Lytechinus pictus: one gene and its partner. Each later gene encodes a partner of the first gene's protein in a complex. Links are inferred from orthologs where the notes say so. Each region holds a gene or a part of one and is shown on either strand. Other genes may lie near its edges.

Region 1 (16,425 bases):
TGGACACAAACAGGTTGGAAAGCATCATAAACGTTTCAGCTTGACATGATATGATTCTGAAAACCTTAAAAAACGTATAAAGAAATGGAAACACAGAATTGATAGATTTCTTCACTGACATCCTAAATCATCATTTTTTCTTCTGATTTGATATGCTCATTCTATAAATTGTATTTGTTTTTTTAAGGTAATGTGGAAGTAACCTTTAACTTTGATCACAATAACATCACTGCAAAGCAATTGCATTTCAGCAAAAGTATGAAAGTAGAGATAAGATGTCCATCTTTTTTAAATAAGGGTAATAACCCCTTTCACTGGGAATAACCCCTTTCACGCTCCTTGTAGCTTTTTGGTTTTTCCCATATTTCTCTTAGAAGTTTTATGATTTCAAATTCATATACCTGTTCACTATGAATTCAATTATTAACTTTTTTATTCTTTGAATGTATATATTTTGTATTGTTTTTTATCATGAGAAATAATATCGATCAATCAATCAAAAAGACCAGTGCTATATTTTTCCTCACCCTCATTCTCCTCTGCCTAGGACATAGATACAGATCTAAGCATCTCTCAAACCGATCCTGAATGAAGCGGGGATAGTAAGGCACCTTCCGAAGACAGTCGTATTTCTTTGGAACGAAGTCAATCTTTCTTTCATCAGCATCTTGTTCATTCCAAGCAAGGATCTGTACAAGAAAAAAAAAAAAAAAAAAAAAAAATCGAAAGTCTGAAAATTACCCCCCCACCCCTTTCCTTTCCAAAGGGTACTTTATATATTGAATATGTAAAGTGTACATCAAAATTTCTAATTAGCAACCAAATGTTATCATATGGGTAGCCACAACACCTCTGAAGATAATTCAGCAGTCTTGGGTTTCACAATACACAGGAAAAAGACAATTCTTATATTTTCAAAAATGTATTCTTTTTACTGTTATTTACAAGTCATTAGATTACCATTAAAAACACCATTTGAAACACCAGTACAAAGGGTCCTATAAATTTTTCAATTATTTATTATCAATATCATTTTTAGTAGTAGTATTATAATAAACAAATAAGATCTTAACAAACTTACCTCTTCTTCAGTTGGAAGATATTCTGGAAGCGGATTATAAGATTCTTCATGACCCGGGAGTTTCATCTTCGGAGCAGCGATGTGAGCATGATGACGCTTGGTGATCTTGGTCTCGTCATCTTTACCCCACATATCGTAAAACTTTGGTCCTCTCTTTTCTTCTTCCTCTTTCTTCTTTCTTTCAGCTTCTAGCTCACTGGGTAGTTTCATCCAACCCATTTTTATTGCATGAACCAACTTGCTAACCTATGGATAATAGGAAATAAGGATGAAGTTTATTCATCACTCAACAGTAAAGAGTCTAATATATCCATCATTAAATGCTCGATTTTGAATGATGTCATCAATCATATTTATTGATATCCCAATAAAGAGCGACATCAACATTTGTCTTGTACACAGTCATGACAATGACGGTGAAATTGTAATAAATTTTATCTCCGGAGGATGTGATTTTCTACAAATCAAAAGAGAATGGTAATTGCTTCACATACCTCAGACAATTTGAAATATTTTTTTGTATTATACATTTTACTACCAATGCACAATCATTCATTTAGAGATAATCAACCACAACTAACTACAAAAAAAAATAAAAAATTTCAAATCACTAGATACTGGTATTGGAAAGGGGGACATTACATATTAAAATGAAGATGGACACTTTTTAATGATAGTTTCAACAGACTAAAAGGCATTATATTCCAAATGCAGCTTCATAACAAGTTTGGTGTTCATTGCATGGTTGGTTTACCATGCTAATTCACCGGGACCTTATTGCACTTAAGTTTCTATTATAGTAACTTTGCCATCCCATGGTAACAATACTTTACAGCCAATCAAGGTCAATGATCTCGTGAAAGTCACCATTGGATGGCAATGTTGCTACAAAGTTAGTAACTAACGTGCAATGCGCCAGACTTCGCCAACACATACTGAAATACCAAAAGGCGTAATCACAAATGCATCACATGAGGGAAAATGTTAATACATTGATTAGTTTAAAATTCATCACATTAAATCAGAATAAGCAGGAAACAGTTTTACCTTGTCTTTCTCAGTGAGTGAAGGAATAAAGCTTCGTTTATGAGCCGGTCTCCGGGTGACTGGATGGATCATCTTCTCGTAAGTGAAATGATCGATGTAAGGTTCATACGGGTCAAAGGTCGTCTCGGGATAGAAGCCTCGTTGGATTCGTTGAATGGTCAATAACTGTTCTTCACTGAGCACCACATCTTTACCAAGCTTCTTATCAAAGACAGTCTTCCTATAAACGATTACAAAACGGATACCAACATATACAGTTGAGGCCAAAAGTTTACAAACACCCATGGAATTCAGTGAAATTTGTTCGCTTGCCAAACATCATAAAATTTACTAAATCTTCAGAAATATAAATACTACCATGACAAATTTGGTATCAAGTGAAAGATCGTATTAAGCTTTTTCACATGATTAAGATTCCGTTGGGATATAACTATATTTCAGATGGAAAATCTTTGAAGAATAAAAAAGTAATATTTGTGACAAATGTATTCTATTGTTTGTTGTTTTTATCTTTAATTTGTCTAAAATATGAAGATTTTTGGGGAAAAAATGACACCTAAATATTTTTCATCTCCTAATGACAAAGCAATGTGATGAAGAGCATGAAATAATCATTTGTTTGATATCAAATTTGTCATGATAGCACAAATATTTTATAAGATACAGTAAATTTTATGTTTGGCAAGTTTCAACTTTTCTTTGAATTTCCTGGGTGTATGTAAACTTCTGGCCTCAACTGTACCTTGTCTCTATCAAAGACAGTAATCCAATGAACCCCCAAACACGATCAATTTATCAACAATCTTATCAAGCTTTTAATCAAAGACAGTCCTCCTTTTAACCCCAAAAACAGAATCAGTTACCGACATCTTTACCAAGCTGTCTATCAAGACAAGCCTCCTATAATCACCCTCTTCCTCAAAAATGCAATCTTTTAAAATGTTTTACTCAGCATTTCTTTCTCTATGTACAAATACAGTATGCTATCTATATTACATTTGGAATACCATCCTGAAGATTTAAGTGCTTATATGAGCAAACTACAAATTCACGATAATTAAGTTTATGACATATGGGAGAGTTGTCCATACCACTTGTCACAATTTACTCATCAAATTGCCAATTTGAAATATACATAGTCTCAGCGATCTAATTTTTCAAATAGCAATAACTGTTGTTTTTTTTTCTGGCCAAACTTTAACCTTTCTCATCATACCTTTCATATGACTCAATGAATCACAAAAAATTGATATTTTCCTTTAAAAATACACCTCATACGTCTTACATAATAAATAATCTACAATAAGTGGTGGTTTACAAGTCTTGTTTATGAGAGGATGAGAATGAATTCTAACCAATAATCGGGGTTATCCATCTTGTTGAGGAATTCATCTAGTTTATCTCTTCCTTCTGGTTTGACTATCCGTTGACCTTTGACATCGTATCCAAGATGCTTGTAACCTTCATACCACTCCATGGGGATATTCCCTACTGTGTTCCTTATGTCCTGTATGATCAAAGAGAAATTCAGGCGTAACAGCACATGGAGATAAAATGGCCATTTTATAAATATTCCTACACAACTTCTACACAAAGGCAGCAAGAGAAAAATATTATATAAATATGTAATCAAGAGTGCCTGGTGAACACTGTGAAGACAAATAATTAATAAATGAAACAGTCATGGTTTACATTATTAAAGTCCAAAGTAGATTTGATGAAACTCAGACTCTTTCATTTTATTTTCACATTGTGAATTCAACTTCTACCATAGTATGTACCTCCTTTAGATCTTTTTAAATATGAAGATTCCGAATTGAGAACAAAACAAGGAGTTCAACTCCATTCTAATTCAAATTTATTTATATCCTGATGACATTTTCAGTATTTATCTTTCCTATTACACCACTACCCATACCATCCAAGCATATGATTTTACCCCCAGCCCCCCCCCCCCCCAATGAAAACACCAAAGGGAATATTCTTAATTCATTAACTGCCAGAACCAGGTGGTCCCTGTGCAAAGTCTGTAGGAATTTCAAAATTTAGTAGTCAACAAATTAATTCAATTTCACTGGATATTGGATGGAAATTACATGTTGAGAAAACAAACCTCTTCATCTGATGAATCAAAGTCATATTCATTGCTCTGAGGTGGTTGGTTGTCCAAGGGTTCTTTGGGGGATTCCCCTGCAACAGCTGATCTCAAGGAATTGTCAGTGACATCATCGTTGTTCTTGGCTACCTTCTTTCTATTAAGCTCTTGCCTTTTGCCTTTCTTCAGCTGCTTCCCTTTATTCAGGAGTGTCTGTGACAGTTAGAAAAGAGAAGTAATTTGTATGTCATTGGTTTTATATGTAAGTATATTCAGTGACCAAACTGAGGGTTTGCATTAAGCAGTAAACATCTTTTATATGAAATGGTATGAAATCTACTATTTAACCATACAAAGAGCAGAAACTAACTTTATCAACTGAACAGTCTCTTTAGATATGCTTAGAAATCTTTAAGACCAACAATTAGTTAATTTACAAAGTGATTTTCATAGTGGAAAGCACTGAATACAAATTATCTCCCTCAATACAGGTATATGTATTTTCTTTGGAATACCTGCCAGAGCCAAGCACAAAAGAAATATATCAGTAATTACTCTGATAAAATATATATATTTTTTAAATCTATTTCATATATTGTGAAATGTCTTCACATCCTTCAAATATATGTCATCTGCAAGTGTCCTTGTCTCAAATATGCAAATAATCTGTTGATTTTTCAATTTATTTTTTGGTCACCGATACATGTTATTATTCCATCAGGATTCCAAGAAATGCAACTTCCTGACAAAACACAAAAGAGTTTGTATCCACATGGTCTACTAGAAGATCTAATTACCATTTGGTATAATGATCACTTGGTCTAATACTCCCTTGATCTTTTCTTTGGTCTCATGCCCAGATGGTCTAATTTTGACTTTGTCTACTTCCTATTATCTTACACTTTGTCAAAACAAAAATTGGGTTCATAAACATTTTAATCATATAGATTAAGTGGTGTTAGACCAAGTGGATAGTAGACAAAAAGGGTATGGAGCTGAGCTGGAAATTAGACAAAATGGTAAATCGGCTTTAAAGACAATCAGATTAAATGGTTAGCAGACAATAGACAAACAGGGTGCTGTTTCATAAAGCTATTCGTAATTCAAGAGCGACTTTAAGAACGACTGGTAATCCTTTCTTACGCGCTAATTCATCGCAATGAATAAACCATTTACCATAAGAAAGGATCACCAGTCGCTCTTAACTTACGAACAGCTTTATGAAACATCCACCAGGTTGAAGATGTACTAGGGTTGATCCCTGTGGGATGAGACCAAACAGAAAATCAACAAAGAGGTTGAAGACTGTGGCAATATACACTGTATTACAAAAACCATGATTACCTTAGGTTCATCTTTAGTTTCTTCATCATCGGCATCTTCACTCGTATCATCCTCTTCTGACATCTCAGAAAAGGATTCATCATCCTCATCACTGGGATTGAAGTCTGCAGAGGAAAAAATTACAAAACAATCAATCGTTTGAGTAGTGATTGTCAATTGGTGAATGAATGACTAGCTGTAATGTTAAGAAAAAAAATCATCAGGGTGGGGGGATCAATATTTCTTTTGCAGGGGCTCTTTACCCAATCCTGCTCATTTCCAACTATATTTTGTATTGGAACAAATAAAAATTTGTGATTATCTTTCACTTTATCGGGGGAGGGGGGGTGGGTGGAAGGGGAATTTTTTACATGGGGGGTACCTTTATTCCCCATGCATTTTATGTGGGTGGGGCTGCTTCTTCGCTTTAATTGCACTTGCTATCCAGGCATGCGAAGCTTTATCTGGTGAAAATAATTGCAGAATATTGAAGGATGAGGAAAGGTATTCAAATGCATTTCACCTGATATGGGAAGTGGGAACGATAAATGTGCAGGGAATAATTTTCCTGGTATATATTGGAAATTTTTCCAAGACTGACTGCACAAGAAAAAGGTATTTGTGTAGGGGGCATTTACATGATTTGAAAAGGAAATATTATTCCATGAAGTGGTACAAGGAAACTAACCTTCATCCTCTCCATCACTATCGTTGAAATTTGGAAAGGGGTCATATTCTCCTTCTTCACTATCTGTAAGACTCTCTTGAGATAAATCGGAATCAGTGCTGTCATCATCCTCTTCCTCATCTGCAGGAGCATCTACGAACAAGTTGAACTTTAACAACAGAAAATAAAAACAGAAAGAATAATATTAAATTTAGGTGCAGGTGCGCAAACATTTACTTGGATTGCGTGGATGTAGAGACTAGAGGCATAAAGCTTTTCTGCCTCTTGTTACCTTGGACTGTCTACTTTCACTTCACTTTTTATTTCACTTTTTATTCGAGATTTTGCCCATGTCGCCGGATGATTAAGTAGTGAGTTAGTGAATGTGTAGTGTACATGTCTAGAGTGTGTTGGTGATTTCAGTGAAATATTGCTGAGTCTGCTGAACGGCCGCACACCAACCCCCGGTCACGCACAGATGCAGTTACTCTCGATCTAATTATGAATATTAAAAATCTGTAGAAAATTAAGTATAACTATAATGAACAATGACTAACATTAGGTATCTAGACCATTATTTAATATGTCGAAATCATTGCAATGATTGCACAAAAAGCTTTTAAAAGATTAAATGAAAAGCATGTCCTACAATACATTCCCCATAATTTATAAGCTATGAGTATGACTATGTATTACAACTGTGTCATGCCCAAAACAAAGAGAATAATAAGATTACGCAATCGTCTTTTGTCCACAAAGTTTTGTATCAAGATATGACAATCTAGTTCTGGGTGTCGGAACAAACAGTTTTATGAATCATAGATATTGAGCCTATTGTCAGTAGAGGCGCACGGCCAATATGGGAGACTCTCTCCAATAGGGGAGATAATCTCCCACATTGGAGACTTGCATTGCAAAAGGACAAAAGAAACAACACCAACAAAAGCATGATTTTTTCCACCCAAAATTTTGTCTCACTGAGGTCAGAAGCCCATTTGTTTTGTGTGTGATTGACAACAAAAATCCTTATCAAAACAAAAGTAGACGGTGAATATTTAAAGTAGACGGTGAAAAGGGGTAATTTTTCATGAGGAATCTGCTTATCACATTTTTATTTGCCGCCAAGGTAATCCTTTTGCAGCAAATGTAAACAAAGGAAATTGGACTCCAAAACTGGAGACTGTCTCTGAAATTGGATACCCAAATTCTTTACAAAAGTCTCTGATATTGGAGATAATCTCCCACATTGGAGACAGTCTCCAATATTGGCCGTGCGCCTCTACTGATTGTGAGCATATAATTAAAACATGCTCGAACAGCCTTTCCTAATTTTCACCTGAAGTGCCTAGCAAAGTAGGGCACAGTTGGTATACGGTAATAAACGTCAGACCTCTCACCACGGCATGCTCAAACTGACAGTCACACTGACTAGCCGACTGAATGAACATACCATACCATTACATGGCGGTTTAGTGTATGTGCGATTCGAACGAGATTTCCCGGAAACGTGATATCCCTATGTAATCTGTGTGCACAAGAATCGCGATAATCGGTAATGGGAATGGCCTCCTTAGTGGTCACCGTCAGTTTCTCATTCCAAATATCGTAACTCCGTTCATTCACGTTCTTTCTACATTTATACAAGTGTTCAAACACATTCCATTACTTTTGAAATTCAATTATTTCAACTAAATCCTACTAACCTTTTCTTCTAAGTCATCATTTGCCTTGCCACGTGCGGGCCTCTTTCTTGAAGTCGCAGCCGACATCGTGCATGCTCATTAGCAGATACCGTACCGTATAAAAAGGAAGAAGAAAAAAACAATACTGTCTGAAGTCTTTAGTCTTTTAGACTGTATTTTTTTTCAATTATTGAATTGAATTAATTGAATACATTTATTGTCCATAATTTTCACTGATTCACACACATGCAGATACAATGTATAAACACAGAACAAAACAGAAGATGATGAAAGCATGTCATCATGAGGAAATAATTCCAACTCAGGTATATAGTTCATATTATTCTGGAATAATCATGTTTGGTTACACATTTACTTTAGTTATCGACAAGATAAGTAATGGATCGAAGCTTATGCAAGTGCAATCGTAATTGTAATAGAGAGTAAAGGAAGTGCAAGAGTGGTGTGATATCAACTGATTCTAAGAAAATCTTAATAATAGTCAAAGTTAACTCGTGATTAATCAATTAAAAGAGTAGGGCAATACATAAATACGGGCGAGCGTTAAAGTGAAGAATACCATTGGGGACAAATGATTGTCTAATTTGTCTCAAACGGCAATTTGTCCCCAATGCTATTCATCAAAGCGTTAACGCTCAAGTCCGAAGGGATAGTTTTTTTCTCTCTCATTTGGCTTTAAAAAAATTATTGTTGGGGTTAAAGTAAAAAGAAAAAAAAAGAGATGAATACCATCATGAGGCTAACATGAGCGCAAAATAAAGTGGGAAAAAATCCAGAAGATTTTCTTGAAAACTGATGTAATTGTTTCATCCTGTATGCACATGTATTCAGGAGGGCGGGAGTTTGCCTAAAGGGGAGCACATTTTCCCAAGGAAAATTTGACAAGCCAAAAAAAAAAGGTCCTCGTATGAACAACATATTCCCATTATAATTTTTTTTTTGAAAGGGGGGGGGGGCGCACCGGGGGGACATCCTCGTAAAAGAATGTCATATTTACTGATTAAAAATTTGGAGTGTTGCCCTTGATCAAAGGGTTTTCATCAAAAATTGAAGGCCATTTTATCCAGGCACTTAAAATTTGACGAGCAAAAAAAAAAAAGGTCCTCACTTGTGTATATGAATAACAGAGGGGCCGCAGAAGCGGGGGGGGGGGGCCTTTATTAGCCCCCACTAAAAAAAAACCTTGTACAAAAACGTAAAAATTACCATATAGTTGTGATTTTGGGAATATAGTCAGTCCCCCACTTTTGGCTCACCCCCCCCCCACTTTGAAAACCATTCCGCGGCCCCTGCAACATATTCCCATTATAAAATTTGAATGATTTTGACAGGGGGGCACACTCGTGTAAGAACGCCATATTTACAATTGGATGATTGCTCTTGATCAAATGGGGGGGGGGGACGTACGGGTCGGATGTGCCCCCTGGATCCGCCACATGCTCATGTGATCGAATATGACTATATGCCCTGAGAAAATATTCCTTCCTGTCTGATGAATATATTAATCTAAACAAAAAACCCTATCACACTATAAATTGCACTAAGTAGACCAGGGGCAGATGGCATTTTTGTACAGAAAAAAATAAACGACCCCCCCAAAGGTGAAGGTCTACTCCCAATTATATGTCCGCCTCGACAAGCAAAAAAAAAGGTGCTCTTTTGCGTGTGCACGCATCGACTCCCTATAATATTTTTTTGGCTCACAAGGGGGGGGGGGGGTGGGGGGGGAGGGCAGGACCAGATGTGTCCATGGTTGCATGGATAAAATAATACTGACAATATTATGAAATATATTGGTAGCCAATAATACAGAAGAGGGCCGGCACGAGGCATTAATTGCCATTATATTATATTTAAAAAAGCTACATAAAAAGGGGAACTTTTCGCATGATCTGGTATTTTATGCTTGTGAATAAAAAGCAGCGGCGTACGCAAGGGGGGGGGGGGTGTTACAGGGGAAACCCTCCTTGATTTTTGAAATACCCAAAACCGCACCCCCTAATTTTTTTTTTTGAAGACCCTTTTTTTTGCTTGTCAATTATTTTTTGGGTAGGAAACGACCTAAAATTGGTGGTGGAGACCCTTTTTGTTGGTTATCAACATCGGGCATTTCATTCAGCTTGAAACCCCTCCCCCTTTACTCCTGCGGGGGGGGGGGGGGGGTTAAAGCCTCAACACACAAATGGAGCATATGGAACGGATTCGTGAAAATACTAGGTAGAATCTCTGAGAACAAACAAGAATAGTAATGACGTCCATTTGGGAAGGCCTATAAGGACCTTTATGCTGTAGGCCCGAGACTGGGGCTACTATAAAAATCCCAATTCCAGAAACGAAAGCAGCCGGAGCTGAAAATTCCAATTTCGGGGGACGTGTGTATGTGTGTGTATTTGAGTTTTGTCAGACGTGTATCAATCAGATATGATTATTTACGTCTGGGACCGACCTTTAACGTCACCATCCGAAAGACGTGACCATCAGGGCTCGAACCTCGAACCTCTGCATCAATTTGTATTCCCCACAGCTTGGATTACAGGCGCACGCCACAACGCCCAACGTGTACATAGTGCTCATGAGTCATGACCATATCACTTTTTGTGATGAAGGTCTTTTTCATTGTTTTTTTGTAGATGACCATTTGAAGAATATAGATCTTATCTTTATGCGATCGAGCAAATTTTGAAAACATGCACGACTGAATGGTGCCCCAAAACGTCTTTCAGGTTTGATTTGATTTGACTGTTTTCTGCATTCATAAAACTCGAATGGGCCAATAGACTCTACATGTACATTTGATATAGTGGGTGATTCCATACGTGTCGTACGGGACATTTAGAGAATATAAGACAGTTTTTTGACAAGAAAAAATAATTCCACTAACTAAAGGTGATCATCAAGTACTACCAGAGTGTTAGGAAAACCAAGACTTGAATTCACATCCTGTATAATACAGATTAAAAATAGTAATGTGTCGTATGGACGCAAAAAAAGTGGCTTTTTTAGAAACCTAAAGTTTGTACTCTAAAGTCTGTGAGTTGGACAGATAATTTTCATAAAAACTGAACTCAAATTGATATTCAATTACCCAAGAACAAACACATCTATGAAAGAAAGCAAAATAAATATTCATGAATAAATAAAGCAAATTATCATTTTCGAGAACATTGTGGCGTACGGGACACTCAAAATGTGTCGTACGGAACATTTCTAAATTGAAGCCAAACTTTCTTACTTTATGTCTCTTTGACTTCTTCAATCACTTTATTTGGCTAATTATAATGATAATCCTATCAAACTAAAGACATTCATTATGTTAGAAACCGCTATTGGCTGAATATTTCTGTCAATATCATAAACAAAATAATGTGTCATACGGGACACTTGTGTGTTGAACAGGCAAATGTACAATGGTTCACATCATTTTTACGAGCTGAAAAACTTGAGGTTTTGTCCCGGGTTTTGTGTGAAGTTATATTAATTGATGAATACACTATGAATGAAACTGTTTGTGTAAATTATGGGGCTAAAATGTTATGATTTTTCATATAAAATGTATACATACATGAAGTATGTCCCAACTCTCACTTGTCCACTTTATAATAATTTCACATTAGCATGCAAGTGAAGAGGAAGTCGTCTTCCAGGCTATAGGGTGAATCAATTATAAAGGTTTTCTTTTCATGCTCAATGACAAAGAAATTAACCTGCTCTGACCAGTGAAAATCACCAGTTTAGCTGAAGGGATTCACAAAAGAATACGCATATATGAAGTCAATTAAAATGGTTAGAATTACCTATTTCATGTTCTATGGAGATAAAAAAAGTACTTTTTCAGTTCACTTTATGTCAAATCAATTACTTAAATTAAAATAGGCCTACTTATAGTTTCTGAATCCAAATCCTGCAATTAAATGCAGTATATATTGTGTGTCGTACGGGACATGTCCCGTACGTACAACACACACTGTGTCGTACGGGACAACTTTTAATAGGACAATTATTGAAAAATGAAAGGCAGTAATTAGATCCTTATGGGATAAATCGATCACCCATGGGTCAAAGATTGAGAAACTGATATTTGGAAATTGCATCATCAAAAATAAAATTGTAGGAAAAACTTTTGTATTTTCATGTGTCGTACGGGACATTGCCAAAAATAGGTTCGAAAAAATCAGGGCTGCCCCTATTATGGATAATGAAAATGTTGTAGATATTATATGGAACCATCAATGATACATTATTCAATTGACCTGCAATATTTTCAATCTTCTCGTGGTTTGCCAATAATCGTTTCAGGCAGTGTTTGTACTTGACTATTTAATTAGCAAAATTATTGAAAATTCCATTGTTTCCTAAAAAAAACAACTATATCTGACTTCACTTTTGGTTAAAACTCATAATTTTCATAAAATTTAGGTATCATAGTAAAATATTACACTATTAATGACTTATTGAAAGCATGTTGAAATTTATGATATTTTTGAAGTTCTAGTGTGGAATCGCCCTAGTGATTATGATTACCGTAAGGGTACTAGTATTCAACCCGTTTGGAGAGTTTCTTCAAATATACAGAAATATGGAATTTACCTGAATTTCAGACCTGTCTTATTTCCAAGAGCAAATGCTGGTTATTCTTTTCCCGTTATTTTTTTCTTCAACCCGTCAACTGCGTGCGCGGGCGATCAAATTTTACGGCGATGGTTTTTGGTACTAGTATTCAATCCGTCGGTAGCTAGTATTCAACCTAGTGATGAAAGATGGCCCTGTCTCTCAATCTGCCCTTGTCCCATCCGACTATGGACTAGACCATTTGAGATGAGACCAAACAGGGAATTAATCAAAGCCAGAGACTTCCATAGATCTAGATCTAATTTAGCAATCTAAACCCTTTTGAAATTTGCTATCAATCCTCACTAGGTTGAATACTAGTGCCATTCAGTGCAAAAGGCCATCGCCGCATAATTCGATCCTCCGCGCATACAGTCGACAGATTGATAAAGAAAATACCGACAACAGATTACCCTGGAAATAACAAAGGTATGAAATCAAGATAAATTCCCTATTTCTAAATATTTGGGGGAATATGTCAAAATCTTTGAATTATGCCGGGTTGAATACTAGTGCCCATACGGTACTGGGTTTGGCATGAATCTTAGAAAAAAAAATATAGACTAAAATTATCATTTTTAAACAAATATTGTCTATGACCAAATTATCATAACATACACAATTTGCTAGCAGGACTGTCATCATAAGCAGTTTACTTGAAAAAAAAAGACAACCCTGTTCCGGGCCTGTTCCCTTGGCGCAAGCCATAATTTTTTTTTCGAAACAAAAATCTGGATGCCCGGCCCTCTACGTTTGTAAATTGAATAACCGTTAGCGAGTTTTCGGGAGTACGACGACGACATCCAAGAACGGTTTTTTTGAAGACGTAACATTGAAGATTTTTGGTAATATGATATGATATTTTTTAAACTTTGAGTAAAACACTTATTAAATGAACTACTGTCAAATTGGCGAGTTCGTTGTCTTGTCCGTTCTGATAATCGAACGACGTAGGGAGACTAGGCAGAGGCTGAGACTGTCAGTCACTACCGGTAGGCGGTACGGCTTCGCTCGCTTCGTGAGCTGACTCTCGCCGGGCCGGTCCACGGCTCCTGCGCTGCCGGCTGGCCGTTTCCTGGGCCTGGCCCTGGCTGCGTCGCATGTCGCTGCTGCATGCTGAACGATGATCCAATTAAATTGCAATTGTAATTGCACTTGTACTTTTTGTTCTCCTTTAATGCATAGAATTCGTCAAATCATCTGCATCCATAAAACACATCACTGTCTTATCGTCACGGCTCATCATGTTCATATTCGTAACTAATTTCGTAACCCAGGACAGGAGTCGGACTCGTCCGTGTACTACCGGTACTAGGTGACAGGTCTAGGCGGACATCACCCATGGCCCTGGGTACATTACCGCCGCCGTGCACAGGATAACCACTGGCACGGCACTTGCAGTAACATTGATGCCTTTTATTTTTATGTTAAAATTAGAAATAGAGTATCAACTATAAATCAAGTAAGCTTTGTAAAAATGTATATGAAACTTACCAAACGATATGAAGCCAATTTCAATTCCTCTCTGTCTTTCTGGTACTTTATATCGATGATTTTTCTTGATGTCGAAGCAGGCATGCTGCCAATTCGCTGGTTTTCTCTATACGCACAGAGAGGGCGCGCAATATTATTTAATAAACTTGCTTGTTTACGTCGTTTCCGTCAGATCAGCTGTACTGCTGGTTAACTTACTGCTGGTTGCGTTATAGGCACTCCGCATTTTTTTCGCTGTTCAGCGTTATTTTATGATGTAGCGCCATCAGCGATTATACGTGAGATGCCTGTTGATTTTTTTAGGTACAATTTCCTATTATGCGCCGGCGACTTGAATCTAGACTGTTCGATAGGAAAAATTCGCATTTCGATTGTTGTTTGCATAATTTCTACCGCAGTATTAAGGATCGGACGGAGTATCTTGGCTGAGATTTGGAGGTAAGCGTTTAAAATCCATTTTAATAAATACGTTCGATAAAAATTTTAAAATTCAATTAAATGATAATATTTAGATGAACAAATTTAGTATATTGTGAAGATTTAGGTGTGTTTCATATTCTCTCATTCGTGTGATGAATGAAAACGTCAAAATTCATTATGAAATGACATGCGTTGTGCGAGGTTAGTACAACTAACCTCGCATGTTTGTGTGAGTGGGCGGACATATGCTTTCCCAAATTGTAGAATGGGGTCACAATAGCACTCCAAATAAAAGGGAAAAAATAAATTATGCACTTACCTCGATTTATATGGAAGAAGCCAGAAGGTCTATCATGAGACACAGTCACAGAATCCTGACATCGAGGCACAAACTGGACCCTCAAAAAAAGGAAAAGTTAGACCTCTGTTGCGTTCGTTCTCGGTATCGATCGGCCATTTTGTTTCAACTTGAAAGATTGAGAACGAAGGAGACAGAATTATTCCTTTTTTTGAGGGTCCAGTTTGTGCCTTGGCCCTTGATGCATGTCATGATTCTGTGTCACGATAGACCTTCATTCATATAATTGAGGTAAGTGCATAATTCATTTTTCCCCTTTTATTTGGGGTGCTATTGCAACCCCATTCTAGTTTCTACCCCATTTTGGAGAGTACCCTCTGCCTAATATTACACGGATGAGTCCTGGGCTCCTACATGCTTCGCGGGCTGGAGCTCCCTGGGTTATGAATCGGGTAAATCGTTCACATACAAACAAACAAAGCAAAGAGATGGTATCCAAATGCTTGAGAGGTCTAATGTTAAGACTAACGTAAGGTGAGGAATCCCACTTTGGAGTTTGGTGCAGTGGTGCCCAAGAAGAAGCACAACCATTAACAATTACCGCCATATCCTGAAATAAGTCACCTCTCTTGTGTTTGTCGGAGAGTCAATGGGAGAGGAAAGAAGTCACCGCCGCTGACGAAATAAACGGCAGTGAATGGAGTGGTGACTTAAACCAGGATAATGCCACAATTACCTGCTGGGAACGATTTGCTATAAGAAACTTTGCACCCTGTAAAGTATGAAAATTTATTATAACTTTTTTTTTATTTTCGAGTCATGAAATTAATTAAGAAATGCAGGAATAACCGTTCTTTCTGGGGATTTATTTAACAATTTCTGACATTTTACTATCGTCCCCATTCACCGACGGTAGTACTCTTGCGGGGTTGACCCTTTGGAATTAACTAGAGTTAAACAAAAACAGACATCAGCGACCACCATCAGGGTAACTCTGAAGACATGCCTGTTCATGTGTGAGAATGCTTACAGACAGACATCTATTTAGGCATATGCATTCATTGTTGAATTTCCAATCATTACTGTCTTTTTTTTCTTGTAAAATTTGCTCTGAAGCACCATTAGCATATAAATAAGATGGAAAGTACAAGTAAATTTTTTATTATTACTATTGATACTAACTTACTGTGCTTACATGTTTTAGGCCTTTGTACCGACCAATTTATAGATAAAGCCATGAAAGCAGTGTTGCATAATCTGCCTGCTCTGGGCAGGTGGAACTAGGTAGCCCACTAGAGCTGCTATAGGAAGAAGGATTGAAACTCCATTTTGGAGAGGAGAGAGATCACCAATCTCCATGACTCCAACTGCATTCTGGCTCTCTGATGTCATGTTGAGGTCATATGTTTAGCAGGGTTTTTTTTAAATACAATTTTGTGGATGTGTTTTTATCAGTTTCTGAGATGTTTGAATGTCTTGTGGATAGTTGTGAGCTGAGAGATGTCACTTGCTTGTAGGCCTACATTGTGTAGTGATATTCATCTGAGTGTAGTGGGTTTCATGGTACACCATGTACAGTATCTTTTGTGGGCAATTGTTGGTCCTGAAAAGGACCACCCAAACTCGCCATTTCGACAAGTGTGTTCTTATCGTCTTCAGAAGAAATAAGGTGTACCGTGGTGTACTGTG
Region 2 (17,456 bases), about 6.2 Mb from region 1:
TGCAGTTACCCATGAAGACGATACATATATCAACAATCAAATAATGCGCGCGAAGCGCGAGCTGAAAAATTTGACATTCCGACCTAAATACTGGACATTCTAAGCACGTTTTTTAATTATGAACAGGATAGGTATATATACAATTGATGCGAGCGCGAAGCGCGAGCGTAAGCAAAATTGAGATTTCAGACCAAAAAACGAGAGATTCTAAGTACTTTTCCAATCATGATGAGGATAGGTATAAAACTATACAATTGATGCGAGCGCGAAGCACGAGCGGAAATAAAAATGAGATTTCAAACCTAAAAACGAGACATCTTATGCACTTTTCTAATCATGAACAGGATAGGTATATCTCTATACAATTGATGCGAGCGCAAAGCGCGAGCGGAAACAAAATTGAGATTTCAGACCTGAAAACGGGACATTCTATTCATGTTTCGTAAATCAAGAAAATGATGGGTATTTGGATATATTCTTAAATTAATAATGTGAGCGCGAAGCGCGAGCAGAAAAATTTTGATATTCTGATCTGAAACTCCACACTGAATGTAAAATGATTTTCACAGGTAAAGAAAACTCAGACGAACAACATAAGAATAAGGATTTGTTAAAAATCAGACAAGGAATATCACAGTTATTGCATTTTAAAGATTAGCATTATTCCCAACTTGTTCTTTTGTATTTTATTATATACAATTAGGTTTATTCAATATTTTCCTTTCAAGAACCAAAACAGTTGAATTGACAACTGATTTAGTCCATTAGATATTCTTTGCTGCAACTTATTTCATTATAAGGGAGACATATCATTCATTCTGGTATGGAAAAAATGAATGAATTTTGATTCCACAAGGAACAGCTATAGGATAGTGGGGATGTGACAGCATCAGCCCACCTATTAAATATTCATGACGACACTGCATATCATCATTTTCATAAAATATTGCCAAACTTTAGAATTAAATAACTTAACTAATCGTTATCAGATTTTGATAAAATTTATTTATTTTGATAAAATGTATTTGATATAAATATTTTCAGCCCGGAGTACCCCCCCCCCCCAAATAAAGCTGCGTATCTGAATAAACATGCGTGCGCGTGTTTAGAGTTAGACCTAGTATCTGGGCATTCTAAATACATGTTTTTATTATAAAAATCAATAATGCGAGCGCGAAGCGCGAGCAGAAAATATTTGATATTCCGATCTGAAAGAGGGTGCATTTAAACACTATTTCAATGTGTCGGAAAATTCTGAAGTGGGGGGGGGGGGGTGGGGTTCTACAAAACGTCGTTCATTTTCATTACATTTCTGTCATTTATCATACCTACCACTAGATTTCCAGGAGGTGCGCTGCCTATGGAAAATAACACACGCAGCACCCCCGCTTCCCAGCCCGTAGGGCCATGGGGCAGGGCGAAAAAGACTTTAAAATATGATTTCTATTGTCTGACTTGTAATTTTTGTATACAATACACGGGCGGTCGGGCGCACGCTCACTTGATTCGACAAAAAACCTGGAAGTTTCAAGTCCAACCACCCCATGTCCATCCCTGCTATCGAAGAGTGTGTATGGTTATCACGTATTGTGCGCGACCACGTCTGTATCTGAGCGCTGCCCCGCTGGAGCTTGATTGAGTCGCGTTATAGGAGGGATGTTATTGGAATATGTGAAAGACTATGTAAATGATTTGCGGTTGTCGGATGTGATAATTATGTACATTATAACATATTAAAAAAAAATACAGGGGGAACCTGATTTCGTGGGGGTGCTGCCTATGGAAAATAATACACGCAGCACCCCCAGGATAATTTCTGGGGGTGCTTCAGCACCCCCAGCACCCCCGCTTCCCAGGTCCCTGGTGAACCTCCTGCATAAATAGGTGTTGTGAAGAAGAGAAGTTGAATGTTGAAGACAGTGATCCTCCTTCATATCATAAACAGGTGTTGTGAAGAAGAGAAGTTGAATGTTGAAGATGGTGAACCTCCTGCATAAATAGGTTTGTGAAGAAGAGAAGTTGAATGTTGAAGACCGTGATCCTTCTTCATATCATAAATAGGTGTTGTGAAGAAGAGAAGTTGAATGTTGAAGACCGTGAACCTCCTTCATATCATAAATAGGTGTTGTGAAGAAGAGAAGTTGAATGTTGATGACGGTGAACCTCCAGCATAAATAGGTGTTGTGAAGAAGAGAAGTTGAATGTTGAAGACCGTGAACCTCCTTCGTATCATAAACAGGTGTTGTGAAAAAGTTGAATGTTGAAGACAGTGATCCTCCTTCAGAAGTACATGTAGGTATTGTGAAAAAGAGGTGGATTACATATGTGTTGAAGTTAGAAAAGTGAAGATTGCATTCACATAGTGGGGTATAAGGAACATATTCGTGTGCTTTGAGGTGATTATCTTTTCCACAAAGGTTTAACTAGGTGTCAGTGATCCTATTGGTTGTCGACAATGGCAAATTTTCAAGATCGCGTTCAGTTGATATGAGTCGCTTGATGGTGTGCCCATTAGAAGCCTTTAGGAGGGCTATGACCTTGCCATCGGATGTCCATGCTTGTTTCACAGCTTGGTGTGAGGAACTAGCTTTCAGCAACTTCAACCTGGCCTTAGTTAGATCTTCCGATACACTGATACCAGTTCTCTTGAGTTTTCTTCGATTTGAGATCATCTTTGAGCGAGGTTTGTAACTCGTGAATTTTACCAGGATCGGGCGGGGATTGTGTTTCCCCGATTTCCCAGTAGCAGAGGGTGCACCGATATCATCACTTCGAGGCTTGCCTGTCCGGTGTGATCTATCAATGTCTGATAGTGAGAGTGACAGATTCATTTTCTCTGCAACCTGTAGGACCAATTGGTCAGTATTTTCATTCTTGGTCTCTTGGATACCAAAAATTCGTAAATTGTTTCTTCGGCTATATTGTTCTAAATCGTCACTGCGGCTCTCAAGTTTTTTACTCCTTTCTCCTTCTCTCTCAAGCTTCTCCCGTAGAGAAGTATAGTCACTCTCTCTCTGACGGAGTTTATGTTCAAGTTCTAATATTCTACCTTTATTTTCCTCATTCTCTTCAATGAGAGCTTTTAATCTCTCCTCAACAACCGACTCAATCATTTCATGGATAGCTGATGTAAATCTTGAATTATCCAATAGTTGTGTAACAGTGTCACTTTTCGGCATATTTTATGGAGATGGAGAATTGATGTTGATTAAGACAAGAGATCAGAAGAAAAATAGTTACCATCCAGCAGTGTAATTTGCAAGTCGAATCAATTCACAATAGTCACACCTAAAGTTTAATCCAGTACACACTCTCGCACTGCCACTGGCACTGGGTACGGTTGAACCACAGAAATACCGGTTAAGGCGGTATAACAAAAAAATGAATGTGTGGGACTGTAATTTATTCCCCAAGTTATCCAATTCACGAAGTGTCAAAAAATCTCACCAGTTTCAATTATTATCCACCTTAAAAATATCAGTTAAACAGAATATACCTCCAGGATTCGAATCGATCTGTCCAGTTAAGATGATTCTTTCATGACTAGTAATGCAAAAGGGTAAATCTGAAGAGAAAATTGAGGAAGTGTTGACGTAAATATACGGTAGCCGAATATGAAAATTTAGCAAGTTTATAATAGACTTTCATACGAAATTATGCTATATACCATCCATCTTTTTTTCCCGCTCGTTATCTTCAATCCTCAGCAGCCCGGTAATAATATCTTGTCCCTTTTTTTATTTTCCAATTTAGATTTTGCCTCATTCCATTCTACCTTAATTTCCCGCTTTTGTTTGCCTTTTTGTCATCTTTAATTCATTTCCCTGTCTTACTAATCATGCTAATGTATGTGTATATCTGGGAAAATTGTTCTTCCTCACATGTTCTTCTTTCCTTCCTTTTTCCAAATTCTTTCCGTTTTCCCTTTTTTTTCTTAGTTTTATTTTCCCTTACCCTTTTCTATTCCCCTCCCTTTTCCCCCTTTCATCTTTTTTCCTTTCCTTTTCCTTTCCCTTTCTTTCTTTCTCCCCTTATTTTTTTCCTTTTCCCGTTTTTTCTCTTAACATTTTCACGGTGAACTCCGCCAGGGGGAAGGGGGGCAGCTTGCCCCCCCGCCTGTTACGCCACTGGTTGCATGCACCTTTTGGGGGCTAAAATTAACAAAAGTAAAGGAATACGGGCTTTTTCAAGCATGGGGAACCACGGTCCTGACTTTTCCCCCCATCCCTTAGTGCTGCCGATGGGTAGAGTAAAAAACAACAAGGAAAGAGAGAAGACAAAATAGAAGAGAGAGAAGCGAAAGGGAGAGATAGGAAAGAAAAGGAGGGGGAAAGGGAGAGAAAGAGAAGGGAGAACGGAGGGGTCATATCATTGTATGAACAGGATATTTTATGATTATGCCCCGAGCATTAGTGCGAAGCTCAATGCGAGATAAGAACAAAACAGAGGGGGCACACCATGGTGCACGCAGCAAAAATTTGCTTAATAATAAGTCTCCAGCGAGCGAAGCGAGCAAGAATAAAAATCACCTTCAATTTTGAGATTGATTTTGACATGGTATGCAGAAAATGACATATATTTCCTCTTCCTTTTCTTTCTTTCCTTTTATCATTTTTTTTTCTCGGTTGTAGAACTTTTTTTTTTTTTTTTTTTTTTTTTTTTGGGGGGGGGGGGGCAGTGCTATGCGGTTCGGGTCCGGGGCAATGACGGTACTAGGGTTTTTAACCTAGGAGGAGGCAAACAAACATTTTGGGGCCGGGGGGATGGCACACATTTTAAAAAAAAGCGCGAGCTAATTTTATTGCAAATACAGTCCCTACTGATTTAAAAAGGGAACTGTTAAGAATCAGCTGTTTGCATTAATTGGGTCATGAAGATGATATCTCACCAAATGAATAATGCGAGCGCGAAGCGTGAGCTGAAAATTTTTGATATCCGGGATGATACCTGGCCGTTCTAAGCTTTTTTTTAAATTATAAAATGAATGGCTATCTAAATCGCTGAAAATAAATCCTCTATGGAAATTATGAATACGCAGGATATGTATCTCGCTAAAACAAATAATGAAAACTCTAATAACATTTGATTTTTAAGCCCCATGTGAACAGATAATCATTAATAACTGCGAGCGCGTATCGCGAGCTACATTTTGAATTTTATATAATGGCCTGAAAGATTTATGTTAGTGACCAAAATTGTTGGGATCTAAATGCTAACGGTGAATGGATGAGAATATTTTTAAAATTTAAAGAACAAAAAACATTTTTGGAGTATTATGACAACGTTTACTATACATTTTGTTTCTTCAAATTTCGGGGGGGGGGGGGGCAACTCACTGGGGCCTCCCCATTCGGTGGCGCCACTGGTCTGGGGCGGAGCCCCCAGAACCTCGTGATATTTTTAAACATTGCAGATGGCCATTTTTTTTAAATCAAATCGCGGATACATACATCACATATTATATTAAGTTGCTAATTAATTGAATTGAAGGCTACACGTGCAAAAGAAAATGTCTCATGAGAATTATTCGAAGATTAGAGGAGCTTTATACTCATATTTTATATTTTGACAATACGTTTTCTATCGATATACGCCCCCATCTTTTCTCCAAGAGATGACGATCTACAACAGAAGGCTGAAGATATTAATTCGACCCAACCCATTCTCATTTTTTTAATTTGTAAGTTGATTACAAAAAAGAATATGTATAATGATTAGACTGATTCTAGAAACAGAGAATGGGCAACCATTGAACATATTTTGTGCAAATAAAAGAAAAATACAGGTGTCACTCAGCTTTCGGAGCTATTTTATTGGCGGAGGATTTAGGACTGAGTATAATATATGAATAAGATCTGCTCATGAGATGCTTTAACCAGTTGCCCCCTAAATGTGCATGCGCCGGGTCAAGCTAGTGTTTATCTGGTTGCCCGAGTCGAGTTCTCCAAGTTAGGGTACGTGGTTACCCTGGCTAGGCCGTCGGGATATCCCTGGGGGCCCCTTGAAAAAATACTTTTAATTTTAAAAATGCGATAAATATCCCTTTATTCCCTTTACTTTTGTTAATTTGAGCCCCCTAAATGTGCATGCACCTGGTCAAGCTAGTGTTTACCTGGTTGCCCGAGTCGAGTTCTACAAGTTAGGATACGTGGTTACCCTGGCTAGGCCGTCGGGATATCCCTGGGGGCCCCTTGAAAAATTACTTTATTTTAATTTAAAAAAATGCGATAAATAGCCCTTTATTCCCTTTAATTTTGTTAATTTGAGCCCCCTAAATGTACATGCGCCGGGTCAAGTCAGTGTTTATCTGGTTGCCCGAGTCGAGTTCTACAAGTTAGGGTACGTGGTTACCCTGGCTAGGCCGTCGGGATATCACTGGGGGCCCCTTGAAAAATACTTTATTTTAATTTTTAAAATGCGATAAATAGCCCTTTATTCCCTTTAATTTTGTTAATTTGAGCCCCCTAAATGTACATGCGCCGGGTCAAGTCAGTGTTTATCTGGTTGCCCGAGTCGAGTTCTACAAGTTAGGGTACGTGGTTACCCAGGCTAGGCCGTCGGGATATCCCTGGGTGCCCCTTGAAAAATACTTATTTTAATTTTAAAAATGCGATAAATAGCCCTTTATTCCCTTTAATTTTGTTAATTTGAGCCCCCTAAATGTGCATGCGCCGGGTCAATTAAGTCAGTGTTTATCTATTGCCCGAGTCGAGTTCTACAAGTTAGGGTACGTGGTTACCCTGGCTAGGCCGTCGGGATATCCCTGCATGGGGGCCTCTTGAAAAATTACTTTATTACACACACACCGCAAAAAATAGCCGGTGCCCCCCCCCCCCCTGAAAAAGCAAGGACCCCCAGTCCCCCCCCCCGGGAAAAAATCCTAGCTACGCCACTGTCTGCGAAGGTCCGAAAACGCTGGAAAAAGCCATGTTAAAGTGAATTTTTGTTGCACGTGGTCTTATCATGCATGCACTGCACTGCGTGCACGTGTGTTGGCTGTTGGCTGTGCGAAAGACGAAATCAGAGAGCAGGAAGTGGAAAGCGAACTACCCGATTTCGTTTTCGCTGTCTGCGTTTTTCCAAACAGAATCAGGGGGTAGAAAGCGTGTTCTGATTTTGTTTTTAATATATAACAAACACAGGTATAGAATGAGGTATCAGAGAGGACCAAAAGTATTTCTGATTTCATTCTTCTGTTTTTGATCTCCAAAAATGAAATCACAACGGGGTTTTTCTCGTTGTGATTTCGTTTTTGTGTTTTCAAAGACCAATCCATGAGGTTGACTTCCGTTTTTGCTCTACGAAAATCAGGAATGAAAAACGAATTATCCATTAGTACCCTGATTCGCATGTCTATCTAGATACTCAACTTGTTAGTATTTCAACCATTATCCAGTTTCTGAAATACAAAATTCTGCTAGCGCTTTGTGCTCGCATTTTTTATGTAGGAAGAACCCCTATTACTCATCCTTATTATACAAAACAGGAATAGAGTGTCCCATTTTTTAGGTCTAAAATTTAAATGTCGATTTTTTTTCCGCTCGCGCTTCGCGCTCGCATTAATTGTTTTATAACGACGATCCTGTTCATGGTCACAATAATTGATTAAAATTTTCCATTCTTTATGTAGAAGTGTAAAAAAAAAATCGGCTTGCGCTTGCATTATTTTATTGTTGAAATATGTAACGTCTCCATGGCTAAGTGAAATAAGCAGTCCTTAACAGGTACCTTTTTGATCAGTTCAAAACGTATACAAAAATCTTATGCTCGCTAATTTGCGCGAGCATTATTAAAGTAACAAAGATCGGCAATTTAACATCCTTTCCATGATGATTTAAAAGACATGACTAGACATGTCTCGTTTTTAGGTCTAAATCTTCCAATTTTGTGCTCGCGCTTCGCATCAATTGCTAAGTTATATACCTATCCTGTTTAAGTTACAAAAAGTGCCTATGATTTCAATTCTGTTCGCACTTCGCGTTCTTAGTAATTATTTAGTTGCATACACGTCTTTTTCATGATAAACATTGCCCAGAAATTTCAAACTTTGGGGAAAAACATATTTTTTTTTTATAAATTAGCTCGCACTATATAAAAAGGGTTATGATATTATATATTTATGTTGATTTATAAGACAAAAGCTAAGAAGTGACATTTCTTCAAAGAAACAAATATAAATCATATTCGCGCGGCCGATTGGGGAAAAATAATGGTGAAAAAAAATTTGCCCCCCCCCCCCCCTTTGGCGAAAGCTGGATCCACCCCTTCATCCTATTTATTTCTCTCCTTCCGTCCATTTCTCCATTCTTCCAGGAGCCGCGGAATAGTTTTGAAAAATGTTTTTTCAAAACTTTTTTTTGGTATTTCTACCAATAAATTAATGAAAATAATGCGGTACAAAAATCAATGTCATTCTTCTTCCTGTTTTAAACTATATACGTGTACAAAAAACGCACCACTAGCTAAAAAAAACAAAAAAAAACTTGGGGGTCACAACCCGAGCACCCCACTTCCCAGGGCCATATACAAGGATTCTAATTTATTAATTTTAACGAAAGCATGAGACATCATTTGTTGAAAAAAAATTAAAGAGAGCTATTAATGACTGCATGTGGTCCTACCGGTAAGCTAGATCTGCGCACAAAACTGCTTTCATATGACACGCAAAAGGGATAAATCTTAGTGGAAAAGTGGGATAAAGCAAACAGGATTTAGAAACTGCCTTCGTTGGCGTTCAATAATATGGGTGGTATGATACAAATTCTGCTAGCTTATTCGTACTATTATTTCTGGCCATTGTACTTAGATGTATATTTTAATGTGGAAACATTTTTAATTTTTTTTTATGATACAAATCGAGCGAGGCAAGTACAATGATATGGGGCAGAGTTCCAAGTCTTCATGCCCCAGACTGAATATATTTTGACATCAACTTACTCCAAAAACAAGTGTTATGTTTTATTTTGTATTATTCATTTTTTAAGTATAAGGTAAAATTATAAGTCTCGGAGTGTCAGTTAATGCTGCAAAAGATGTATAAGGCCTACTCTTTTGCAGCACTATCCAGCTACCGCGGCGAGGACGCCCTCCGAGAAGGTAGCCATATCAAAACTAAAAACAAAAAATTCCACTTAGATTACTGGTGGATCCAAGGGGCATAATTATCGAGAGCCAAATTTGTAATTTGTAACATAAACATGCCCTTTTTACCCAAGCATGCCCCTTGAAAGTGAGGATATATATAGGCCCAATTTTTTTGCTTGTCAATTTTTAGGGACGAAATTTTGAATTTTTTTTAAAAACATTTTGTAATGCTTATCAAATTTGCATCGGGAAAATGTGCCTCCATAGGCCCTGTCCCCCTTAATTTGAGGTGGGGACCATTGGCAACGTAAAGCAAAAATTTAGGGGGGGGGGGGGGACCACCAAAATTTTGTGAAAAGCCCCCCCCAAAAAAAAAAAAAGTTTATCAACCCAAATTTTAGGGGAGACCACATGAAATTTTTAGGGGGGTCCACTGGAATTTAGGGGGCAGGCAGGAAAAAAAAATTACAAGCAAATAAACAAAAGGTTATCAACAAAAAAAATTAGGGGGGGGCGATTGTCCCCCCACCTCAAATTTAGGGGGGACACGACCCCCCCCCCCCCCCCCCCCCGCTGCCTATGGGGGACGTTGTTGGGTTTTTTTTGGCTAATTTTTTTTTTTCGGTCCCCCCCCCCTTTTTTTGTCAAAAATGTTGGTGCCCCCCCCCCTTAATTTTTTGACTGCCGCCGCTAATAGTGCCCCCTCTCCTTTGGAAAATCCTGGACCCTCCCTTGCCTAGATATAGATGTTTAAAGAATTAATTATTTTGAAAGTCAGAGTGCCCCTGCCCCCCCCATGCTTTAGTTATCATGGCATAAAACTTATGTCATATCTAATCCTTAAATCAGCAAGAGGTCAGAGCATACAGTATCCGTCACCAAACGACTGCATTTGAGCCATTTATTTTCTCTTTTCTCTTCTTTCTATTTTTGGTTGTTATTTAATCATTGTTTATTTGGATAAGCTCGGATCCGAGACTAACTGGGACGGTGAACGCACTTTCGTTCGAGTTGTGTATTTGGGTAACAATACGCCGAGGCGAGAAAGGACACGCCCACAATCCCTCGTTCAGTGCCGAGCTCTGAGAATACGTGTCGACGAAATTTCAAAATGAAATTTGTACACAAATCTGTCACAATTCGGACCCACTTTAGCCTCAGATTAACAGATAATTAGATCTCTTTGTAACACTAAAAGTCATTCACTTGGGGTTTTTTAATATGCTGATTCAGGTGAGGTACTTTTCAATGCTTTTAAACATAGATTAAAAAAATTAGATTTTCGTTTTGGGATCCCTACGAAAGGTGTTGAATCAAATCTAAGTAGGACCTATCAACAGTGCAGTGATAACGGCATTGCCATTGACTTTGAAGTTGAACTTGTGTCTTTTTGTGATGCACATGTTTACTATAATTTCATTCATAGGTTAATAATAGCTTGCGATCATGGCTGGATGGTGTCATGTAATAAGCAAAGCGTACATTGAATGCTATATGCAATACATCAATGTGAAAAACAGAATGATGCTTATTTGTCAAATCTAGGATCAAAATGTTTTTCACACCATGTATTTTAATCTTTACAGTTCAAGAGTGGTATAGCAACTAGCTTCATAACAAGAGCATCAGCTGTGAAGAGACTCCAGTTAAATCTTGTCAATTTCAGGTGAGAGTCAAGTAATTTGACTTTTTTATGTCACTTAAATTTGATTTTTTTTTTTTTTTTACTTAAAAAATAGCCAAGATAATATGTAACTAAAAAAAATGTTTTAATCTGAATAAAGTAAATGATGATGTTTGATCCATCTTGGATAGCCACATTTGAAACTGGAATATCTGCAAATCCAGAACTGAAAAAAAAATCAAATAAACAAACATGAGGGCTATCAGCCATTGCCCCCCCCCCCAAATATGATTGTTAAGAATATCACTTGGAAGTAACAAGAGAACCAAACACATTGTTAGGTACATATACAGTGAATACAATACATGAAAGAAGAAAGGCCCCTGTAAAGAAAGTCTTTTTTAAGCTGACTAATCAGGCAAAATTTCATTTTGAAGACTGAAATGTTGCGTCAGCCAGGGCATACCTCTTTTGAAAATTATCATAGGACTAATTCATTGTTGGTGGAGGAGGGGGGGGGGGCTCCTTTGACATTAACATAATTTGACCAGTCTACATCCTTGTATAATTAAAGGTCAAGTCCACCCCAGAAAATGTTGATTTGAATTAATAGAGAAAAATCAAACAAACAACGCTGAAAATTTCATCAAAATCGGATGTGAAATAAAAAAGTAATAAAAAAGTTATTGCATTTTGAAGTTTCGCTTATTTTTCACAAAACAGATATGCACAATGCACGATGATGTCTATTACTCACCATTTCTTTTGTTTTTTATTGTTTGAATTATACAATATTTAATTTTTTACATATTTGACAAATAGGACCACCTTGACTGAACCATATATTATTAGACAATGCTCATTCCACATGTTCAGGGAGGAATTGTTGTTTCCCTTGACAATGAAGAGAAAATTAGAATATTTCATGGAATGAAATACAAAAGAAATAGTGAGTGGATGATGTCATCAGTCTCCTCATTTGCATACCGACCAGGTCGTGCATATAACTGTTTTGTGAAATTAAGCGAAACTTTAAAATGTCATAACTTTATTATTGTACATGTACATCCGATTTTGATGATATTTTCAGTGTTATGCTTGTTGGATTTTTCTCTTTTTATTCAAATCAACTTTTTGTTGGGGTAGACTTGTCCTTTAGGGAATGGTTAATGAATATTTCCATTGAATATTTTTTTTTGTTATTTTTTCTTTTGCTATATATCTTTATCTTTCTGTCTTTCTTTACAGGAGGCTGTGTATTCTGAAAGGGGTGTATCCGGTTGAACCAAAGAGTATCAAGAAGGCCGGAAAGGGGCAGAAACTTCACAGAACCTATTTCAGATTCAAAGACATCCAATTTTTGGCTCATGAACCCATCGTTCAAAAGTTCAGGGATCATAGGGTATGTATGCTTTTCAAAGAATGTATTGATTGATATTCACAGAATGATGATTTTCAATCTTATTTTTAAGGGGAAAAAAGGGTGATATTATTTCTGATAATTTTATCACAATTTTGCCCCAAACACCTTGTTCTGCCTCCTGAAAATAATCCTGAACAGAAAATTCAAGCATGTCCCTTATCCTGTACCTTCAGAGAAGTTCAAACATGAATTGTTCAGGAGCTAATTTCACGTCACGACTGCTTGTGTTTTTGATGCTACACCCGTGTAGTATTTAAGGCCTGATGAAAAACATTTGTTTTTTCGTTCTTTGGGTATTTTATTTTATCTTTGCCTGTCAAGTTCAGAGAGGATAAAAAATCAAGATGTGAAAGATGTATAATACAAATTTATCACAAAATAGTATGAGTGTCAGCATGAAAAGAATGTGGAAAGAGATTGTTAAATTGGTATTGGTGTCTAGGTGAACGAATGCTTGTATTTGAAGACAAAAAAGGGCCTGTTTAGTGTTGAAGGTCCAATTTCAGAGAAAACTGTTTAAAAGTGATTAGGAAATACTGATTATAATGTCCCAAAATATTAATGAGTGGGACATTGTATGATTTTGAAATCATTGAAATATGTATCGATTAACTATTTTTGCTGATTCACATGACCCACACTTAGTAATGGCTGGATGGGACTACACACAAATGTTCTGCCCAAACATATTTTGAATATCAGGACATCTGCAGGACTTGACATTTTTACCATCATAATCTTCCTTAATGAAGTGAAAATAACCCGAAAGTTCACATTGAATATATAGATTTTCCTTTCAAATTAATATATTGGGGAGTTCTTTTATTTTATCTTCTTTTTATTGTGATAACTCTTAGTTTATTTACCATATGATGTGCACTGTTTGTCTGACCCTTGATGTATATGTACAAGTATTCATTAGAATCCAGATTTTAATCTTAATCTTTCAATTTTTTTTTCTTTTACTCTTTTCTTTCTGGGTTTTCAGGTTTTTGTAAGGAAAGTGAGGAAAGCTAAGGCCAAGCGAGAATGGACATCATTGGACAGACTTAATCGCAATGAACCCAAGTATAAGCTCGATCACATTGTTAAAGAGAGGTATTCAATTCATTTCAATTTTTCATTTTTGACAGAACAAAGTAAAGTGGTCGAAAATAATTACAATGACATTTGCAAATGAAATTTATACAAACAATATAGATTGAAGATGTGAATATGAACTAAAATCTTGGGGTTTAATCTATTTTATGTTAATGGCCTAATGAAAAATAATCATTAAAGATACGAATGATAGTATTGGATGACTTTTCCTCATACAAATATTCAACTTTTGAGGGCCAATACTTCACTCTTGTATGATTCATTCAGTATTATTTACGTTGTTGAATATTATTAGTGTCCCATTCTGAACCATCAGCTATCCCAAAGAGTTTAAATGTTGTATTTTAAGGAAGTTTGGACTGGAATCATTGGATTAGAATATTTTTCTTGATCTTTGTGTTTGACAGATACCCAACGTTTGTTGATGCTCTCCGTGACCTTGAAGACCCTTTGACCTTGTGCTCATTGTTCAGTACATTTCGTAAGAATGCCAAAGTGAAGAGCGAAGTTCTCCCCCTCTGCAGACGACTTGTCGTAGAGTTCATGAACTATGTCATCGCATCAAGGTCACTCAAAAAGGTGAGATTCATGAATAAAGTCTCTGACAAAAACAATTAGAGTTTTTGTGGATCAGTAGAAATCTCTAGAAATTGATTTACCAGTATTAATCTGTATTTGCCTCACATGACCCAGGTGTAGTAAGTGGGTATCTAGTAGGATTCATGCACTTAGTGCTGACAGAAAACCAATTTGGGTATGACATGTGGCATAGAAACAGGTTACCAGTCAAATGTAAAAGTCAAGTATGAACTTACCTGTTAACTTATATTAAGCCAATAGGTATAATCGCTAACTTGAATAGATGGCAAGTATAAAATTTGCAAAATCTGTTATATCTTGATGTGTTGTTCATTCCATGTAGGTTTTCCTGTCCATCAAAGGGATCTACTTCCAGGTGGAGATTGAGGGACAGCTATTAACATGGCTCATTCCGTATAACTTTGGATATTCGGTTGGTATTTCTTCTTGCTATGGTGTTTTGTACAGTGAAACCTGTGTTCAAAGATCCTTTAGGCAAATATTGTTATGAAATGTGAGAGGGTCTGCCATAGGCTTCAGGGCAGGAGGCAGGGGCGCAACCCCCTTATTCTTTTCAAGTGAAAAGGAGAGGACAGGGATTGCGGGGAAAGTATAATAGAGTACCAAAGTATGACGTCATCAATTTTTACTTTTTGCATTTCAGCGCTTTTCATACCATAATTTAGTAGAGCATGATGAAAAACCCCCACAACACAAATTTGGTGAGAATTGGTTCATGGGGCCCCAAGTTATGACCTCACGAATACATAATTAACCCCATTGAATTCAATGTATTATTGGCCTGGTTCTAAAAGTTAGGAACCAGGCGAATAATGCATTGGCTTCAATGGGGCTAATTACCGGTAAGTATTCATGAGGTCATATCTCAGGCCCCCATGGACGGATTCTCATTAATTTTGGTGGTGGGGGATTTTCATCATGCGCTACCTAAATATGGTATCAAAAACGCTCAAATGCAAAAAAAAAGTTTTTTGTGACGTCATCACTTCGGTACTCTATAAAGGATGAGAAAGAAAAAGAGTATTGAGAAGATAATGCCGAATTGTGAAACTTCGGAATACCTTTCTAAGTGTTTTCATTATTATAGTCACATTTTGGACACCTTGCCTCTACTGTCAAAATACCAAGTTGCCACCGTTTCTAACAAGCACACAAAATGGGGTTTATATCTCTGTTGCCCCAAATGTGTTTTTGGAGCCCCATATTTGTATTTCTGTGTGTAGTGCTTACTCTCAACGTGATAAGAATATTGTTATCATCCTCTTTTTCCCAAATCTGATAGCAGATGCTCACACTGAAAATATCTCTTTGATGTTTAAATCTCGGAACCAAATTTGGTCAACAAATTTATTGTAAAGTTCCAAAGAAATATTTCATTTCTAATTTCATTATCTCAGGTACTGTTATATAAAGTTTGAAAATGTCATGGCAGCAATAGAAAGGGTACAGATGTCACTAATTAGCAACGTTAAACTGATTAAATAATTTTTTTTTTAATGGGACATTGCATCACTGCTACATGTATGTTTAGTTATGATCTCTTCCTGCCTTAGGCACCAAAGATTCAGGTGCTAGATATTTAGATGTGATAAACTCTGATTCTGTTTTTAGTCAAAAGTCTTTTGTAACAATGTTTTTATTTTCGCTGTTTCATCCTTGATTCTTTGTTACAGGTGCCCGGTGATGTTGATTTGAAGATCATGTCTACATTCACAGAGTTCTACACCACTCTCTTAGGTTTTGTCAACTTCAAACTCTTCACAAGTCTTAACCTTCACTATCCTCCCAAGGTAAGATGGAAGTGGGTTCAGCAAGGCCATGCATGACCTATGGCCCTTGTGCATTGTCGCCATCTTAGAGGCACAAGCCATTGCCTTCCCAGCATCGGCGATCTGCAGCTGGTGCATCTCTGACAACTCCGTTTACATGTATTTCTATATCCTCTGAGGGAGGGCGCTATGAGGTTATGGACAACATTTGCTAAATGTCTATTGATAAGCATCAATGCTCGTCTGATTAGCCTTTGATATGTTTTGTTTCCCTTTTAAAGTTTTCTTGTATGTGCTGTTTTATAGATTAAAGGATTTAATATACTCAAATTTACAATCGGCAGGGAAATTTTCCACATGGATTAAATTCTGACTAAAAGTCGCAAATGCCAATGCACACATGATCACAACATCGATGTAGTTGAGATTTTGTAGTTTGTACTGTGTGAAACACATACATGCAAGTTTTTGAATTCCTTGGCTGAATGCAAATTTGTTTGTAAGAATCACTGACAACACATTCATTTTAACCTTTGAGTTGAAATTCCTGTTGCTGGAAAGGTGAATGCAATCATTGTGAGTTTTAATATTCTTTTCATATCATTTAGGAAGAATATTATTGTAAAATGACCCCCTGCAATGGATGTTTTTCAGATGCCCAAACTTTAACAATGTAACACTAAGAAAGCTGTTATGTTTGGGCCAAACATTTTTATGTATACTATTCCCATACATGTATATCTGTTTGCATTGCCTATGAGTGAATACAGTAACTGAGTTGATGTGTAGAATATTGGTCTTCTCAAAATCTTGCAACATACTCTAATTCTTATGTTATATGATTACCATAGCTCCCAATCGCTTTCTACATTCAATCTATCGACAAGAGCCTCAATTAAACTTTGAAAGAAAATTATCCATTTGGCAGTGTATGAAAATGCTATTTCATATCTATTCCCCCACAGTTGTCAACAGTAGTACAGAGCACTAAATCAGAAGCCGACCAGGTGGAAGATGACGATACGGTAGATGACCTTATAGGTTCCTTTGTACATGACCTTGTAAAGGTCAACCAGGGGTCAAGTATCGATGATGAGGAAGATGAAGCTAACCAACAGGATCAAGACCAGGAAGAAGCTCTTATTGCTGGTGGGGTGAGTTCAAATGAATATGAAGTGATACTATCAAAGATGATAATATGTGACCAGCAACCCCAGGACCAAGAATAAGTTGCCAGGAAGGTTCTCTGTAAATAGCAAAAATAGTAATTCAAAAGAAAAAAAATTAAAAGGCCAATAGGACAGAGTAATTCTTCTTCTTCATACTGTTGACATTACGTAAAGTTGAATACAAACATGCTAAAAGAGTTTCTTTGACAAAAGTTTTCCGAACTGCTTTGAAGTTTCACCGAGATTGCAGACTTTGCACATCTCATGTTTGAGTGAACCCAAAACTTCAAATGTTATTTTAACCTCTCGGTTAGTTACTTCTGCATTCAATTAAGAACAGGTGTGGGTTATTTTGGATTAATTTCAACAATTTGGATATCATTGTAAAGCTTAGGATGTGCTCTTTCAAACTCTATATAAAACTCCAAATTTATTTTTGGTGACTTATTGTTGGTTTTGGGGTGGCTGGTCAACATGAAAAGAACATTCACATATACATCAGCATTTGCTGATAGGGTATTCCATCCCACGAGTGGTAAATAAATAAGTAATAATTTTTTTTAAAGGGCCAGGAGGAGGTAGTGGTCTGGAGGATGGGGAAGATGATGGTGTTGGTGGTGATGACAGTTACGATAATGTTGTGGTGATGGTGGAGATCTTGAAGGTGATGGAGAATGATAGTGCTG

The links.
Region 2: ribosome biogenesis protein bop1-B-like (region 1) and pescadillo-like share a complex: the UniProt entries of both Homo sapiens proteins name them as parts of the peBoW complex. The link is inferred for Lytechinus pictus from reciprocal best matches to the Homo sapiens genes BOP1 and PES1.

What each region holds. Positions count from the first base shown.
Region 1 is NC_087246.1:26,845,778-26,862,202, forward strand, and holds the start of ribosome biogenesis protein bop1-B-like, read right to left. Parts: upstream 8,243-16,425; 5' UTR 7,983-8,242; coding exon 7,917-7,982; intron 6,383-7,916; coding exon 6,235-6,382; intron 5,672-6,234; coding exon 5,568-5,671; intron 4,437-5,567; coding exon 4,242-4,436; intron 3,636-4,241; coding exon 3,484-3,635; intron 2,349-3,483; coding exon 2,129-2,348; intron 1,328-2,128; coding exon 1,082-1,327; intron 690-1,081; coding exon 528-689; intron 1-527. UniProt on the Homo sapiens protein: Component of the PeBoW complex, which is required for maturation of 28S and 5.8S ribosomal RNAs and formation of the 60S ribosome.
Region 2 is NC_087246.1:20,635,913-20,653,368, forward strand, and holds the start of pescadillo-like, read left to right. Parts: upstream 1-10,305; coding exon 10,306-10,317; intron 10,318-10,670; coding exon 10,671-10,750; intron 10,751-11,956; coding exon 11,957-12,110; intron 12,111-13,119; coding exon 13,120-13,229; intron 13,230-13,639; coding exon 13,640-13,811; intron 13,812-14,154; coding exon 14,155-14,244; intron 14,245-15,505; coding exon 15,506-15,622; intron 15,623-16,566; coding exon 16,567-16,755; intron 16,756-17,456. UniProt on the Homo sapiens protein: Component of the PeBoW complex, which is required for maturation of 28S and 5.8S ribosomal RNAs and formation of the 60S ribosome.